Linked DNA regions of Saccharomyces cerevisiae S288C. The gene in region 3 interacts genetically with the main gene of each other region. Each region holds a gene or a part of one and is shown on either strand. Other genes may lie near its edges.

The links.
Region 1: mutations in YEH2 (region 3) and ERG2 together harm fitness more than expected from each alone (negative genetic interaction), as found in Saccharomyces cerevisiae (2 studies listed by BioGRID).
Region 2: of YEH2 (region 3) and TGL1, changing one enhances a phenotype caused by changing the other (phenotypic enhancement), as found in Saccharomyces cerevisiae (3 studies listed by BioGRID).

Annotation. Positions count from the first base shown.
Region 1 is NC_001145.3:665,837-668,705, forward strand, and holds ERG2 (C-8 sterol isomerase ERG2), read left to right. Parts: upstream 1-1,700; coding exon 1,701-2,369; downstream 2,370-2,869. Other genes in the region: DNA repair protein RAD14, read right to left, coding at 9-1,097, 1,182-1,208; TOM complex pore protein TOM40, read left to right, coding at 2,656-2,869. UniProt on the Saccharomyces cerevisiae protein: C-8 sterol isomerase; part of the third module of ergosterol biosynthesis pathway that includes the late steps of the pathway. ERG2 catalyzes the reaction which results in unsaturation at C-7 in the B ring of sterols and thus converts fecosterol to episterol.
Region 2 is NC_001143.9:178,792-182,925, forward strand, and holds TGL1 (sterol esterase), read left to right. Parts: upstream 1-1,987; coding exon 1,988-3,634; downstream 3,635-4,134. Other genes in the region: MRP8 (Mrp8p), read left to right, coding at 1-383; succinate dehydrogenase cytochrome b subunit SDH3, read left to right, coding at 876-1,472. UniProt on the Saccharomyces cerevisiae protein: Mediates the hydrolysis of steryl esters (SE). Preferentially hydrolyzes ergosteryl and zymosteryl esters. Required for mobilization of SEs from lipid particles/droplets, thereby playing a central role in lipid metabolism and sterol homeostasis.
Region 3 is NC_001144.5:178,832-187,183, reverse strand, and holds YEH2 (sterol esterase), read left to right. Parts: upstream 1-3,778; coding exon 3,779-5,395; downstream 5,396-8,352. Other genes in the region: IZH3 (Izh3p), read left to right, coding at 55-1,686; guanine nucleotide exchange factor SDO1, read left to right, coding at 2,258-3,010; IRC25 (Irc25p), read right to left, coding at 3,022-3,561; PSR2 (putative phosphatase), read right to left, coding at 5,703-6,896; POM34 (Pom34p), read left to right, coding at 7,578-8,352. UniProt on the Saccharomyces cerevisiae protein: Mediates the hydrolysis of steryl esters. Required for mobilization of steryl ester, thereby playing a central role in lipid metabolism.

The sequences.
Region 1 (2,869 bases), on a different chromosome or scaffold from region 3:
ACCAACATTTAAATGTCAATTTCTTCAGTTTCTAGCCCGCAGTCTGTACATCTTCTTCTTTGAATTTGATAACCGTCTTCATCAATACCTCCATCAACTGGATCACTAAAATGATGAATATGGGCTTTCCCATGCTTCTTTTCTCTTAATCTATTAGTATATTCTTGAGCTCTTGTTTTCAGTCGCATTTCCTTGATTTTCTTTTCGTATTTTTTCTCCCTTCTGTGAGCCTTTCCTTCTTCACGACGTTGCCATTCCTCATCTAAACCTTCTTCTCCACCCCATTTCTTGAACGCAAAGGCTTCCACTTCACATCTAACAAATAGTTGCATTCTTGCAAATGTCCCCGAATGAGGGTTCGGCTTTTCTAGTCTATGAAAGAGATCCTCATCATTCAATTCGGGGTCTGTTAAAAAGTAATCTTCCTTACATTCTGTTTTCGTCAGTAGTGCATACTTTTCTGGATGCTCCTTAGAACACTGTTTACAAACTTGTAACTTGAACACATCATGTAGCACAGGATCCATCTCAATATTAATATGACATTCAATACATTTCGGCGCCTTTGAAATATGCTCTGGAGGAGGTGCATTTTCGTACAGCATTTTCCGTTCAAGTTGTTCCTTTTTCCAGTCCTGTAGTGTCTTCTGCTTTTTAGATCCAAACTCAGATTCAAATTCTTGGTCATCGGTAAAGTCAGAATTTGGAAGCTTGTCCTTAGGGTTGATATAACCACCATTCAAGTTCTGCATGGTGGCAAAATCGTACTCAATGTAATCTTGTTTCCTTATGCTAGGTCTGATTCTATCCGTTGGCCTTTTGTCGAGTACCGACGCATCCCTTTTACTTCCATCAACTACTCCGCTACCATAAAGTGAAGTAGTGTTAGTGTTAGTGTTAGCAAGCGCAGACGGTTGTCCATTATGATTTGGCACATGTACTGCGGCTGCTGCATTATCATCCCGATTGCTGCCACTAGTAACTGCGAGAGGCCGGGTTTTTAAAGGTTCATTCCTACTTTCTATTCGATTCAATTGGTCGCTACTCAGTATTCCCCTTTTTCTTAACCGTTCTATTGCTAATTTCCTGTTAGCCTCCTGCACAGCTCATCTCATCGTTAAATTGTTAGTAAAAAGAAACCCACGGTTAAAATACAAACACAGAATCATTTTCACACATACTAGTTTGGCCTTTTGTTCGGGAGTCATAGCGTTACGTTCGATACCTTCACTACGAAGATCCAAACTCTTTTTCTAGTTCCGATAAATTCCTTACCTTCTTTTCACTTTCCTCTTTTCTCCCTACAACTTAGCAAACGTCAAACATGCTGTAGATAGAGCTTCTATAGAAGTACAGTTATTCAAACAAAAAAAAAAAAAAAAACAAGGGTTGTGGAGTATGCCACTAGCAGTCTGCTATGTTGATTCTGCTTATTATCAACGAAGTATCCCATTATGATCTTATGCAATGCACATTCCTGCCCTTACGCTCCAGGGCAGAATCGAACCACGGCCCTCGTATAAGCCGCAAGGAAAACTACCGGTGCTATCGTTCTCGTTTGGATGATTTTCAGTATGGAAGAATTTGGATAGATCTGCAGCGCCATGGTATATAAGAGAAAGAAGCGGTAACGTTTGACACTGGGTTCAGATCTCTCTTGTCGCTCAATCAAACTAAGACTAGCCCAGACCATTATAGCCATGAAGTTTTTCCCACTCCTTTTGTTGATTGGTGTTGTAGGCTACATTATGAACGTATTGTTCACTACCTGGTTGCCAACCAATTACATGTTCGATCCAAAAACTTTGAACGAAATATGTAACTCGGTGATTAGCAAACACAACGCAGCAGAAGGTTTATCCACTGAAGACCTGTTACAGGATGTCAGAGACGCACTTGCCTCTCATTACGGGGACGAATACATCAACAGGTACGTCAAAGAAGAATGGGTCTTCAACAATGCTGGTGGTGCGATGGGCCAAATGATCATCCTACACGCTTCCGTATCCGAGTACTTAATTCTATTCGGAACCGCTGTTGGTACTGAAGGGCACACAGGTGTTCACTTTGCTGACGACTATTTTACCATCTTACATGGTACGCAAATCGCAGCATTGCCATATGCCACTGAAGCCGAAGTTTACACTCCTGGTATGACTCATCACTTGAAGAAGGGATACGCCAAGCAATACAGCATGCCAGGTGGTTCCTTTGCCCTTGAATTGGCTCAAGGCTGGATTCCATGTATGTTGCCATTCGGGTTTTTGGACACTTTCTCCAGTACTCTTGATTTATACACTCTATATAGAACTGTCTACCTGACTGCCAGGGACATGGGTAAGAACTTGTTGCAAAACAAAAAGTTCTAAGCTGCCCGACCTCACGAAATCAGTCATGCGGTAGTCCATTATAATATAACTATTATTATTATTACTATTACTATTATTATTATTATTATTATTATCTATTGTTTATATTCTCTTTAGCTTTTTATCACCTACGACGACGGATATATTCGGCGTTTGCAAAAAGTGAAAAAGGCGTCTTTTGGTGGACATGAACTCAATCTTCAATTCTTTGAAAGCGGTGTATGCGTATAAGGCCTTTTAACCATCGTGCAAAACAATAAAAGACTACCAATAACCGACGTGAATCATGTCTGCACCAACTCCATTAGCAGAGGCCTCTCAAATTCCCACTATCCCGGCCCTTTCTCCTTTGACTGCGAAGCAATCCAAGGGGAATTTCTTCTCCTCAAACCCAATATCTAGCTTTGTTGTGGATACGTACAAACAATTGCATTCTCACAGACAATCTTTGGAGCTGGTCAATCCCGGTACCGTGGAAAACCTGAATAAGGAAGTCTCCC
Region 2 (4,134 bases), on a different chromosome or scaffold from region 3:
AAAGGTCTATCAGAAGACTTGTTAACTCTTTGAAAAAAGATGATGATGACGTTATAGCGCCACTGCCTAATGCAGATGGTGATATTCCTGCTATTTCAGACGGAGTGTTCCCTAAGTCGTTGAAAGAATTTAAAGACATCCCAGACTTAAAACTGGTAAGACTTGCTAAATTCTACGAAAGATTGCCACCAACTCTAAAGGAACAAGAAGATTTTGAAAACTTCCTGGAAGGTAAGGTGGAAGCCTTTCACATTAATGAGACCACTGATGAAGAGATTTCTAAGGAGTTGGAAAAGTTCTCCAAAGATGAGCTAGATGATGCATTTAATGATGTTGCCCGCTATCTAGGTCTCTCCCTTAGAAGAGGAACCGAAATATGGTAAACAGAAAATGAAAAAAAATGAAAAATCAATGAATAAGAGGGCTTGAGTTCCAGGTTCTAGAAATTTCCCTCACTTATATATATATATATATCTATATACATATAGTTTTGAGTATATCATAACAGGATTCTCTTTCAATGAAACCTATGTTTTCCGCGGCATTGCAGTTAAAGGATGTTCTAGTGGTGAAAAAGAGAAGAAAAGAATTCAAAGTTTTCCTCCCATAAGTATACCTATACTTTTTATCTGTGATTGAAAGCTGTATACCAACAGCCTTCTATATATTACCTTGTATACCATTCAGTAGTCTTAAGCATCATCTAACTTTTGACCAGGTCCATTCTGATTGGCTGCGGTAGCCCGCTCCGTTTTCCGCTCTAAGCGTTTGGTACTTGTATAAATGTGCACTGGCATTATGATATCGAGATCCCCGCATAGAAATCTCAGGACCAACCAAAAATTGCCAATCACAAGCTCTAAGAATAATAAACGATGTCTGCAATGATGGTCAAGTTAGGACTGAATAAGTCGGCTCTATTACTGAAACCCTCCGCCTTTTCAAGAGCAGCTGCCTTGAGCTCCTCGAGGAGGCTGCTTTTTAATACAGCTAGAACAAACTTCCTTTCTACCTCACCATTGAAGAATGTGGCCAGTGAAATGAACACCAAAGCGGCAATTGCTGAAGAACAAATATTAAACAAGCAAAGAGCAAAGAGACCTATTTCTCCACATCTGACCATTTACCAGCCACAATTAACTTGGTACCTGTCTTCTCTTCACCGTATTTCGTTGGTGCTTATGGGACTAGGTTTCTACTTGTTTACTATACTCTTCGGAGTCTCTGGTTTATTAGGTCTTGGATTGACTACCGAAAAGGTTTCTAATTGGTACCATCAGAAGTTTTCCAAGATTACCGAATGGTCCATCAAGGGTTCCTTTGCTTACTTATTTGCAATTCACTATGGTGGCGCCATTAGACACTTGATCTGGGATACCGCTAAGGAATTGACATTGAAAGGCGTTTACAGAACTGGTTACGCTCTCATTGGTTTCACCGCCGTTCTCGGTACTTATTTATTAACTTTATGATTCTTTAAGGCGACGCACCTGTTTCTACACACAAATATATATATAGCCAATTTTATATATACGTTCCTATATATGACCCAATACCGCACTTATTTATTCTTTAAGATCTTTATAACCCAAAATGCCGATTAACACAAACCTATATTTACTAGGGGCACATTTTTTATTTTTTTGCCTTTCTGTAAAATACAATAGAGAAAATAAAGGAACAAACAAGAGGAAAAACAGGAAAAGATAGCGCAAGAGTAATCATATTCAACAAAATATCAGTGATTTTTTACAGATATCAAGATAATTTCTTTCCGGATACTTATTGAAGCTATTATTTGTTACTGGCAAGAAAAAGCAAACATAGGCGGTCATTTTTCTTTTGTATAAAGTAAATACAAGAAGAATTATTTTCGAGGAATAACTAGGTGTGCAGAGATATTAAGGAACAAGGAAAGAAGAAAGAAAACAATTCGAACAAAACTTTATTATTCTAGCACTATTTTAAAAAACTGTCTTTTGGCAAAATGTACTTCCCCTTTTTAGGCAGATTATCGATAACAGATTACATTATAGTCGTCTTGGTATACATAGAAAGCATTATTTCATCAGTCCTTAAACTTATACCACAACCAATGATTAACCTTTTCGAATGGCTAATAAATTTCTCAACGTCCTCCGATGACAATACCATCGAAGAAAAGTTAAGGTCAGCTCCAACTATCCATGAAATGTGTGCAATTTTTGATATATCTGTCGAGGATCATTTGGTAAGAACTGAAGACAATTATATCTTGACACTGCATAGAATCCCACCGATTTCTAAAAACAGATTTAACAATAAAGTGGTATACTTACATCACGGTCTTTTGATGTGTTCTGATGTTTGGTGTTGCAATATTGAAAGACATAAAAACTTACCGTTTGTATTGCATGATTTAGGTTACGACGTCTGGATGGGAAATAATAGAGGTAATAAATATTCAACTGCCCACTTGAACAAACCACCAAAATCGAACAAGTTTTGGGATTTTTCTATCGACGAATTTGCGTTCTTTGACATTCCAAACTCAATTGAATTCATCTTAGATATAACAAAAGTGGACAAGGTCATCTGCATCGGATTCTCTCAAGGCTCTGCTCAAATGTTTGCTGCATTTTCGTTGAGTGAAAAATTGAATCGAAAAGTCTCCCATTTTATAGCCATAGCACCCGCTATGACTCCAAAGGGGTTGCACAACAGAATTGTCGATACCTTGGCCAAATCATCGCCCGGCTTTATGTATCTTTTCTTTGGTAGGAAAATTGTGTTACCTTCAGCTGTCATTTGGCAAAGAACTTTACATCCAACACTTTTCAATTTGTGTATCGATATCGCAAACAAGATACTGTTCAATTGGAAGTCGTTTAACATTCTACCGAGACAAAAGATTGCTTCTTACGCAAAACTTTATTCAACGACCAGTGTAAAATCCATTGTTCACTGGTTCCAAATATTAAGATCTCAGAAATTTCAAATGTTTGAAGAGTCTGATAACATGCTAAATTCCTTAACTAGGCCTTACCAAATTGCTAATTTTCCTACTAGAACAAATATCAAGATTCCCATTCTTTTAATTTATGGTGGCATAGATTCTTTAGTTGATATTGATGTGATGAAAAAAAATCTACCCTTCAACTCCGTCTTTGATGTTAAAGTTGACAATTATGAACACCTGGATTTGATTTGGGGCAAAGATGCCGATACCTTGGTCATTGCTAAAGTCTTGAGGTTTATTGAATTTTTTAACCCTGGTAATGTTTCAGTGAAGACTAACCAGTTACTACCATCAGCAAGTCTGGTTGAGGAATTACCAAGCACGACATGGAAGACAACTCATCCAACGCATGGTCTCAGTTATAGAACTCACTCGGCAGACCGTTCTCCGTTGTCTGTACAAGCTGATGAAGCGGATGAGGTCCACAATGCTGACAATTCAAGGTTCTTAAGACGAGTGTTTTCTACTAGTGCCATAGACGAGGACAACGAAAATGAGCACCAGGATGATACAGAAGATCAAATCCATAAGGAGCAGCAAAGACGGTTAAGTGCCTATCTGGAATCATCCAAAGATTTACGACAACTAGATGCCAACTCTTCGACAACTGCGCTGGATGCTCTAAATAAAGAATGAAAAGAATGCGAGAGAAACCCTATTAAACTATTTTTTGTCTAGGATAATAATATTAGCGCTAATCTAAAAATCGATGAACTAAAGAAAGAATATACGTACGTTTTATACACAATAAATGGATTTCATAAGAAGTCCTTAATATCCTCATGCTTGTGGATACTGGAAATTAGTAAAGTAATTAACTTCCTTTTAGCATTATTCTTATTTGGCTTAAAAAGGTCACGTGAAGCTCTATTTTTTTCGTTTTTTTTTTTCACTGATGGAAGAGAAAAACCTCTACATAATAAGGTAACTTTACATATTGATTGCCAATGAGATGTTAAAAAATGGACGGTTCAGACAGTAAAATACATTTAGAAAAAAAGAGAAGGTCTTATCAGTGTATTTATTCACTGTGCATATTAGCTTTTTTTGGACTTTTTTTGTTCCATTAGTACTTTTAAAAAACCTATTTGTAAATAAAACTAATTCTAGCACTATTCTTTGCACTAGAATAACAC
Region 3 (8,352 bases):
ACGCAGATAAGCTGAAAAATAGTTCACATCCCAACAGACAATCAAATTAAGTACATGATGGACTCGTCAAGCAAAAGCTTAACTCAGTATATACCCTCACCCATGGGATCTCTATCAAGGCTAAAGCAGAAGGGTGTGGACAATTTTCAGAAGGTGAAAAAATCCGGTAAATCCATCTATAATTACAACTACTCAAAATTCGTTCCTCATCCATTTTCAACTATTGATGAAAGTGTTAAACACTCTGAAAGTGGGCGGTATGATGATTTGGAGATAATTCGTCCAACAAAAGAAAAGGAAGTAACAAGTTCTGTGTACAAAAGAAACAGTGGCAAGTCTCTGAATACAGAATCTCAGTTTTCACTGGGAGATTCAGATGCAGCCACTTTGGTGAATTCAGTCGCTACTTTCAAGCTTAACAATGCTTCTACATCCACTTCACTGGTGTCTTCATCTTCAACTGTATGTTCTCAAGCGAAGTCCTCGTTACGTTCCCCAACAAGTCGTCTCAATGATACAAAAATCAAAGAGGAAAACAATTATATTTCCAGCGTGAAAGACTATTGCGGTCCAATGAGAAAATCCATGGTAAAGACGGAAATCCTCATTGAAGAACCTTTGAATCCTACTACCGATATCAAGTCTTTTATAAACTCATACAACCATGGCAAAGCGTATAGTCTAGGTGAAACTCAACATTTACATTATTATCAGTTGCCATTCCCATGGAGGGAAAACAGATACATAATCCATGGCTATAGGTTTTACAATACCCATTCCAAATCTTTGTTGTCTATCTTTAACTGGTACGGCTGGCATAATGAAACTTCAAATATTTGGTCTCATTTGTTAGGAGCCATTTATATAATCTACTTGGCAATTTACGATTTCCCTCAGTCTGAAGTTTGGCGGAATTCCCAGGTTCCACCACAGGCTAGATGGATTGTTTTCATGTTTTTGGCAGCTGCGTTGAAATGTATGCTAAGCTCCGTGTTTTGGCATACTTTCAACGGAACGTCCTTCTTGAAGCTACGTTCTAAATTTGCGTGTGTCGACTATAGCGGTATTACGATCTTAATTACAGCTTCGATATTGACAACGGAGTTTGTTACCATGTATTCATGTTACTGGGCGATGTACACTTACATGAGTATTTCTCTGGCGCTGGGTGTATTTGGTGTGTTTATGAATTGGTCGCCTCGCTTTGATAGACCTGAAGCAAGGCCATTAAGAATTAGATTCTTCATTTTGCTGGCTACTATGGGTGTATTGTCGTTTTTACATTTGATATTTTTGACTGATCTTCATTATGCTGCAACGCTATTTAGCCCCGTCACATACAAATCTGTTGTTTGGTATTTGGTTGGTGTGGTATTTTACGGTTCGTTCATTCCTGAACGGTTCAGATCTGACGTTCAGGTTGATAAGACCATTCCAACAAACTACGAATTATCTACTGATTTAGAAATCATCACAAAGCAAAGGGAAATTCATTTTAGAGAGGTGCCAACAGCCCATTCCAAATGCAGTTCCTGTCCGTCTCATGCCAAATCATTTAAATCTCTATGGTGGGTTGACTATTTTGGTTGTTCGCACACTTTTTGGCATTTCTTCGTAGTGTTGGGTGTCATCGGCCATTATAGAGCTATTTTAGATATGTTTGCCAAGAGGTGGATTTTGTCATGATGGTATGACTGACTACCTTTACTTACAACATCCTGCACTTTTTCTGTATACGATAAACGGACTTAAAAGAAAGAAAAGCCTACAATTACATTGTTGGAGAAGCCACATAGCAATTTCGAAAAAAACCAGAAATTGTAAACCACGAATTCTCCTGTATTATTTCATTGTTAAAATTTTTTTTTTACTTATATTATACCCATCTTTTTCGATATTCCTGCTGGCATTGTTTTGGCTACATTTTCAAGAAACTTTGGATCCAAAGACAAAAGGAACAAACGAAATCTAAAAGCAAAAAAAAAGTTGACTGATTATAAAAACTACATTACGACGAAAAGAAAATAATAAAACTGTGTACTTTTAGTTTTGCATTTATGTATTGACTGTTATTTAACTTATTATGACCTCATGAAAGAACAAAACTTAGCGTGTATTGTTCTGCTCAGTGCCTTGTATATATAATAATGTTCATGAAAAAATTTTTCTAGGCCGAACTTAAGTGATTTCATGCAGTAGTAAAAGTTTTTAAAATTTTTACTAAAATAGTTCTGAGAAAGAAAAGGTAAAACACGCAATGCCTATCAATCAACCGTCGGGACAGATTAAGTTAACTAATGTTTCATTAGTGAGATTAAAAAAGGCTCGCAAGAGATTTGAAGTCGCGTGCTACCAAAATAAGGTCCAAGACTATCGAAAAGGAATTGAAAAAGATCTGGATGAAGTGCTGCAGATACATCAAGTTTTCATGAATGTTTCGAAAGGCTTGGTTGCTAATAAGGAAGATCTACAAAAGTGTTTCGGGACTACAAATGTTGATGATGTCATCGAGGAGATCATGCATAAGGGAGAGATTCAATTATCGGAAAAAGAAAGACAATTAATGCTTAATAAAGTTAATAACGAAATGCTTACAATAGTTAGCGCTAAATGTATAAATCCTGTGTCAAAGAAAAGATATCCGCCCACAATGATCCACAAAGCTTTACAGGAACTGAAGTTCAGCCCTGTTATTAACAAACCTGCCAAATTGCAAGCTTTAGAGGCTATCAAATTATTGGTTTCTAAGCAAATTATTCCAATAGTAAGGGCGAAGATGAAAGTCAAAGTGGCCATAAGTGAGCCATCTAGACAACCCGAACTTATTGAGAAGATTAGTAAATTGATAGCTTCATCGCCTGGAGAGTCAACGAAGCCGGAATTGGATCCTTGGACATGTACAGGTCTTATCGATCCTGTCAATTATAGAGATTTGATGACCCTATGTGATAAAAAGGGAACTGTGCAAGTCTTGGATATGGCAGTCATAGATAATACAACGCATAACTAATTTATATAGAATCACTTTGCATACATATCTTTGATACACTTTAACACAAAAACTAATTTGCCAAAATCATTATCGTCAGCGCTTTGTTCCTTCGTTGCTCTCCATATCTTACTGCTCATGGATATCAGCAAGCTGAATTGCATGTTGTCTTGGGCCATCGTACCGCTCACTTCTGGTAGAATAACTCTCCTATATAGTTCGGCAATCTGTACGCATACCACGGGTACTTTAGGATCGGCACTATCTCCCAACTTGGTAACCACTTGATAATCAGATAAATGGTCTCTTACAAATTCTTCTTCCTCATCGTCATAATCGCCACCCGTGTTTCCTAGGTTTCCTGCCAGTGGTACGTTGATATCGAGAATTGGGTTTAGTCCTTTTGAAGATACCTCATAGGTGGAATCCATTTCCCCATTTAGTCTGATTTGCAATAGAATTGTGTTATTAAAGTGCGTGGCTTGTACATACAATTCTTTGTTTTCGGATGAAGCGTTCAATGAGCTATCTTTTCCTTTCGGTAGATGAGTTTGGAATTCATATGATATCATATTTGCAACAGTATTTTGTACAAAAATAGCCCATTCTTTTTGTCATTGTTAATATTTTGATTCACCATTGGCGTTGTTATCCCAATAATTCGCGCATTAAGTTCTTCATTTTTTTTCACACAAATAGTACGCAAATGTTTCTCATCAAAGGTATAATTAAAATTGTTGGGAAATACTCAACTATCATTGGGATCCCCGTGGCACCTTTACGATAAGCATGGTAAATAAGGTGGTTGATGAGGTTCAGCGGTTGGTGAGCGCAATAATTCTCACTTCGTTTATGACGGGGTTATTCATTTTGTCACTATGGAAGAATTACGTGACAGTTCATTTCCAACATAAAAATGATCCAAGAGATACAAGAAGTTCGAGAACCAAGATCCAGCCAAATGACAAGAAGAAGAAACGACCAGCACGTCACTCTAGACCTTTGTCAATATCTTCCACAACGCCCTTAGATTTACAGCGGGATCAGGAAAATAATATTGAATATGACCGTACTGTGACTAGCAAGCTGTCCATGACTAGTAATGCCTCTTTATCAGAGAACGGTGATGGAAATGCTAATATTAAAATGGAAACGAATGTGAACCAAGCCCCATATGCTGCAGAGAATCCCTTCCAAAACATTGCGCTTGCGGAGGATACCAAGCTGGTACCTGACTTAAAGTACTATTATAAAGAGTATGGTATTGATATTGAAGAATTTGAGGTGGAGACAGACGACGGTTTTATCATTGATTTGTGGCACTTCAAGTCCAGGTTAAACGATGGCGTAGAGGAAGTGAAACGTGAACCCATTTTGCTATTACACGGTCTTTTGCAAAGTTGCGGGGCCTTCGCATCTTCAGGTAGAAAATCTCTGGCATACTTCCTTTATGAATCTGGATTTGATGTTTGGTTGGGGAATAACAGATGTGGCTTAAATGCCAAGTGGAACATGAAAAAATTAGGTAATGATCATTCCAAAAAATGGGATTGGGATATGCACCAGATGGTTCAATACGATTTAAAAGCACTTATAAATTATGTACTTGATAGTACCGGATATGCTAAACTATCGCTCGTGGCGCATTCACAAGGTACAACACAAGGGTTTATGGGGCTTGTCAACGGTGAGAAACTATACGCAAGTGATTTTAAATTAGTCGATAAGCTGGAAAACTTTGTTGCTTTGGCACCTGCAGTGTACCCTGGACCTTTATTGGATGAAAAAGCATTTGTGAGGCTAATGGCAAAAGGTATTGATTCTCCGTGGTACTTTGGTAGAAGATCGTTTATACCTCTTATGATGACAATGAGAAAACTAATGGTTGGGACCAAGATTTTTTCGTTCCTCTCATACATCATGTTTAACTACCTATTTGATTGGAACGATGTCTTATGGGATAGAGTTTTAAGGGACCGAAATTTCTTATTTTCACCAGTCCATATTTCCGTCAAACTAATGCAATGGTGGTTGTCACCTCTTCCTAATAAGCTAAGTTTTAAGAAGGGTGCAGAGAAAATTTTTCCAGATAAAAAGACATGGTTTCCTATTGCCAAGAATGATGATGACAGTGGCAATAATTTGGATAACAACAAACTACACTTAAATCCGAAAAGACAAAATAGTGAAGAATTTCCACACATTATAATGTTTATTCCAAAGCAAGATAGATTAGTAGATGGTGAACGATTAATTAATCACTTCATTAATCATGAAGCAAATGCAGTGTACAAAATCTGGTATATTGATGAGTATTCCCATCTGGACGTTTTATGGGCGCATGATGTTATAGATAGAATTGGTAAGCCAATGATAGAAAATTTGAGGTTTCCTAATGCAAGGTGAGGTAAAAGTTTTTTCTTTGTGGTTTCTTTGTAAAATATAATATGCCATAAAAAGAGGAAAGAAAAGCATAATAAATAGATATATGTATAGAGTATATATTTATATATATGCTAGTATATACGGATATATGTATCTGTAGATGTTACACGTAAAGTACAATTGATACATGTAATAAGCAAATTAATTCATTAAGTTTATAAATATCCGGTGAAGTCTTCTGTATAAAAAGAGAAACATGAGTTCGTCCAAACATATAACCGAAGGGGGGGGTAATAAAAAGAGCCTGCTTTTTATGTTACTGAGAAATCTATATCGTCACATCCAACACGCTCCCCACATCCAACACGTTTCCTGATGAAAGGTCCTCCAAAAGTGGGATAATATCTAGTAACTCATTATCATGAGTATCAGAGAACCAAGAAGATATCGGAACAGCATGTTGCGGATGAAAGATGTAAGAGGCCGGCGAATTATCTAAGATGATTGTTTCGGACAATGGTCTTCCGATCTGCGATAAGTTCTTGATGTAGTTACCTTCGTAGTTATAACAAGCTTCTCTGAATAATCGATGATGGATGGTTCCATTAGGGTCCAACGTATCTAAAAGGGGGTTTGCATACCTCGAAACACTTGCCGTGAACACAACAACTTCGTATAGTTGACTCACCCTGTTCAAGAACTCATCGACGCCTGGCCTCTTAATAACATAGACATTGTGAACTTGATCATCGATTTCGACGGGCAAAACGAAATCAGCTGAATGCATATATTTAAAGGAAGAATGTACCAAAGTTTCGTCTAGATCCAATATCAGACATTTTTTCTGTTGAAATTCTTGCAACTTGGGTGGTAGCAGAGTGTCGTATCCGGGGGCATGGTACTGGTCTGGTTGCAAATGCGTCAGGTCAGAGAAGTCCTCCTCCGTTGTAGGTATCAAGTTTAAATCATTATCAGGACTGCTGGCGACATATTGTGGATTCATATCTTCTTGACCCACCTGATACAGACCCTGTTGTGGTGGCGCCTCGTCATTAATACTGGAATTTCTATCTGCGTCAACGTTATATTCATGAACGACATGGTCTTGCTTTTCTTTTGCTTCGTCATCTTCTTCTTCTTCTTCTCCGGCATTGTTAACCTCCGTCATTTCTACGTCTCCTTCATTATAATCTTCATATTCTTTCTCCTCATCGTACGAGTTGTTGGAGTGATCTCTTGATAAAGGTGCTAGTTTTCCATTGCCGCTATTCCCATTCTCCTGCATTGTCTTGGAACCCGCATTGCTGCCTGAATCGGAACTAGACAAAAGGATCTCCGGTGTGGAATATTGCATCTTGTCGCCGTTTGGAGTAGCCTTCTGCTTACGACCCTGAGTTTGAGCTTTGTTTGAACTGTGCTTACGGTTGCGGTTGCGGTTGTGATTAGTTTCTGGTGGTTGGCGTTGACGATGTGTTTTGGAAGTATCTGAAGAACAGCACAGTATATTTGCTATAAATCCCATCTGATGATGATCTGAAAAAGCTCCCTAAAACAGACAGAGAAGCACTCTTCACTCAGTTTTTATTGCCAAATAAGTGGAAAATTAAAACGAAAGAACTCAAAAGCAGCACTGCGCTCGAAGAAAGATATATCTTAGCTTAAATCCTCTCCAAAAGGGGAGAACGAAGAATATGTGTAAATTAAGCGATGCTTCGTGGGTTTCTTTTACGCGCTGCGAAAAAGATAATCAAATCTCTAAATTTTAGAAATATAAGCCAGTCGGTAGCCCCCACAAGTCAATTATATATGTCAAAGTTCGTGGCACTGTGGACTGCTTTCATAAAGCTTCTCTTTATCTGTTCCTTAGACTGTGAATACTGAGGTTTTCTAAAAAAAAGCAAAAAAAAAAAAAGAGGGTCCAAACCTATTAACTTCAGGGTTTAAGTATCTTTTTTGTAGGTTATAATGTTCTTTTTATAAACCTTTCTCAGGTTATAATAATATTTCTCAGGTCTAATTAGGGCTAAAGTCTAAAGAAAAATGAAAAAAAAAAAAAATGAAATTTGTGCTAATAGTAATAATGATAGAAATAATAACAATTAATAAGATGGTTATGATGAACAAAAAGATTTATATTATAAGAACTTGACAATATACAGACTTTTAATATATCCGCAGAGGCAAAAAAATAATAGAGGGAACTATGAAGATTCAGGCGGGCCAATTGGGCCTGGACGATAATGACGTGCCGGGACCATTGCCGGACACAGACAGCAAACCCTCATCACAATCACAAAATGACACACCAATGTTTAAATTGGGCAACTTTGAAAGTCCTGTGCTCAAGGAGCTATCACGGCGAACGGTAAACAAGGAAATGGAGACGCAGAGAATTATGACAAACGTAATTGCGTTTGCGTTCTGGAACCTGCTGGTGAAGTTCATCAAGTTCTTTTGGAACAACACTCATGTTGGGAGACAGTTTTGCAACCGGCTATCCAGAATCCATCTGTACATGTTGACATTTCACACGTTAAAGAAGGCTAACATCATATATCACACCACGTTCAGTTGGTTGAATGCAGAACTTCTTGACTACTTGTTCCACCTATTAATCTCGCTCAATATACTGTTTTCTCTTTGGAAGCTCTTATCCACCGTCAAAGTAAGTGATTTGAATCTCACTGACAGGCAAAAGAAGCTCCTGGGGGTAGACATGCAATCATCTGTCGATACTGGGTTGCAGCCACAACACCCCCACTACGTATCCACTTCTAAGATCAGCCAAATGGCACAGAACAAAACACATATTCCTCAAACAAATCTCAAAAATCATCCAGCATATCTCTTCAAAGGCTTAGAGACGCCTTTGAAAGCAAGACAAAGGGAAATGGCGGAGGAACAGACGAAACTACAATCTCAATCCTTACACACAAAGAATGTATTTGGCACACTGCAGAGGCATAGCGGTATCAGTA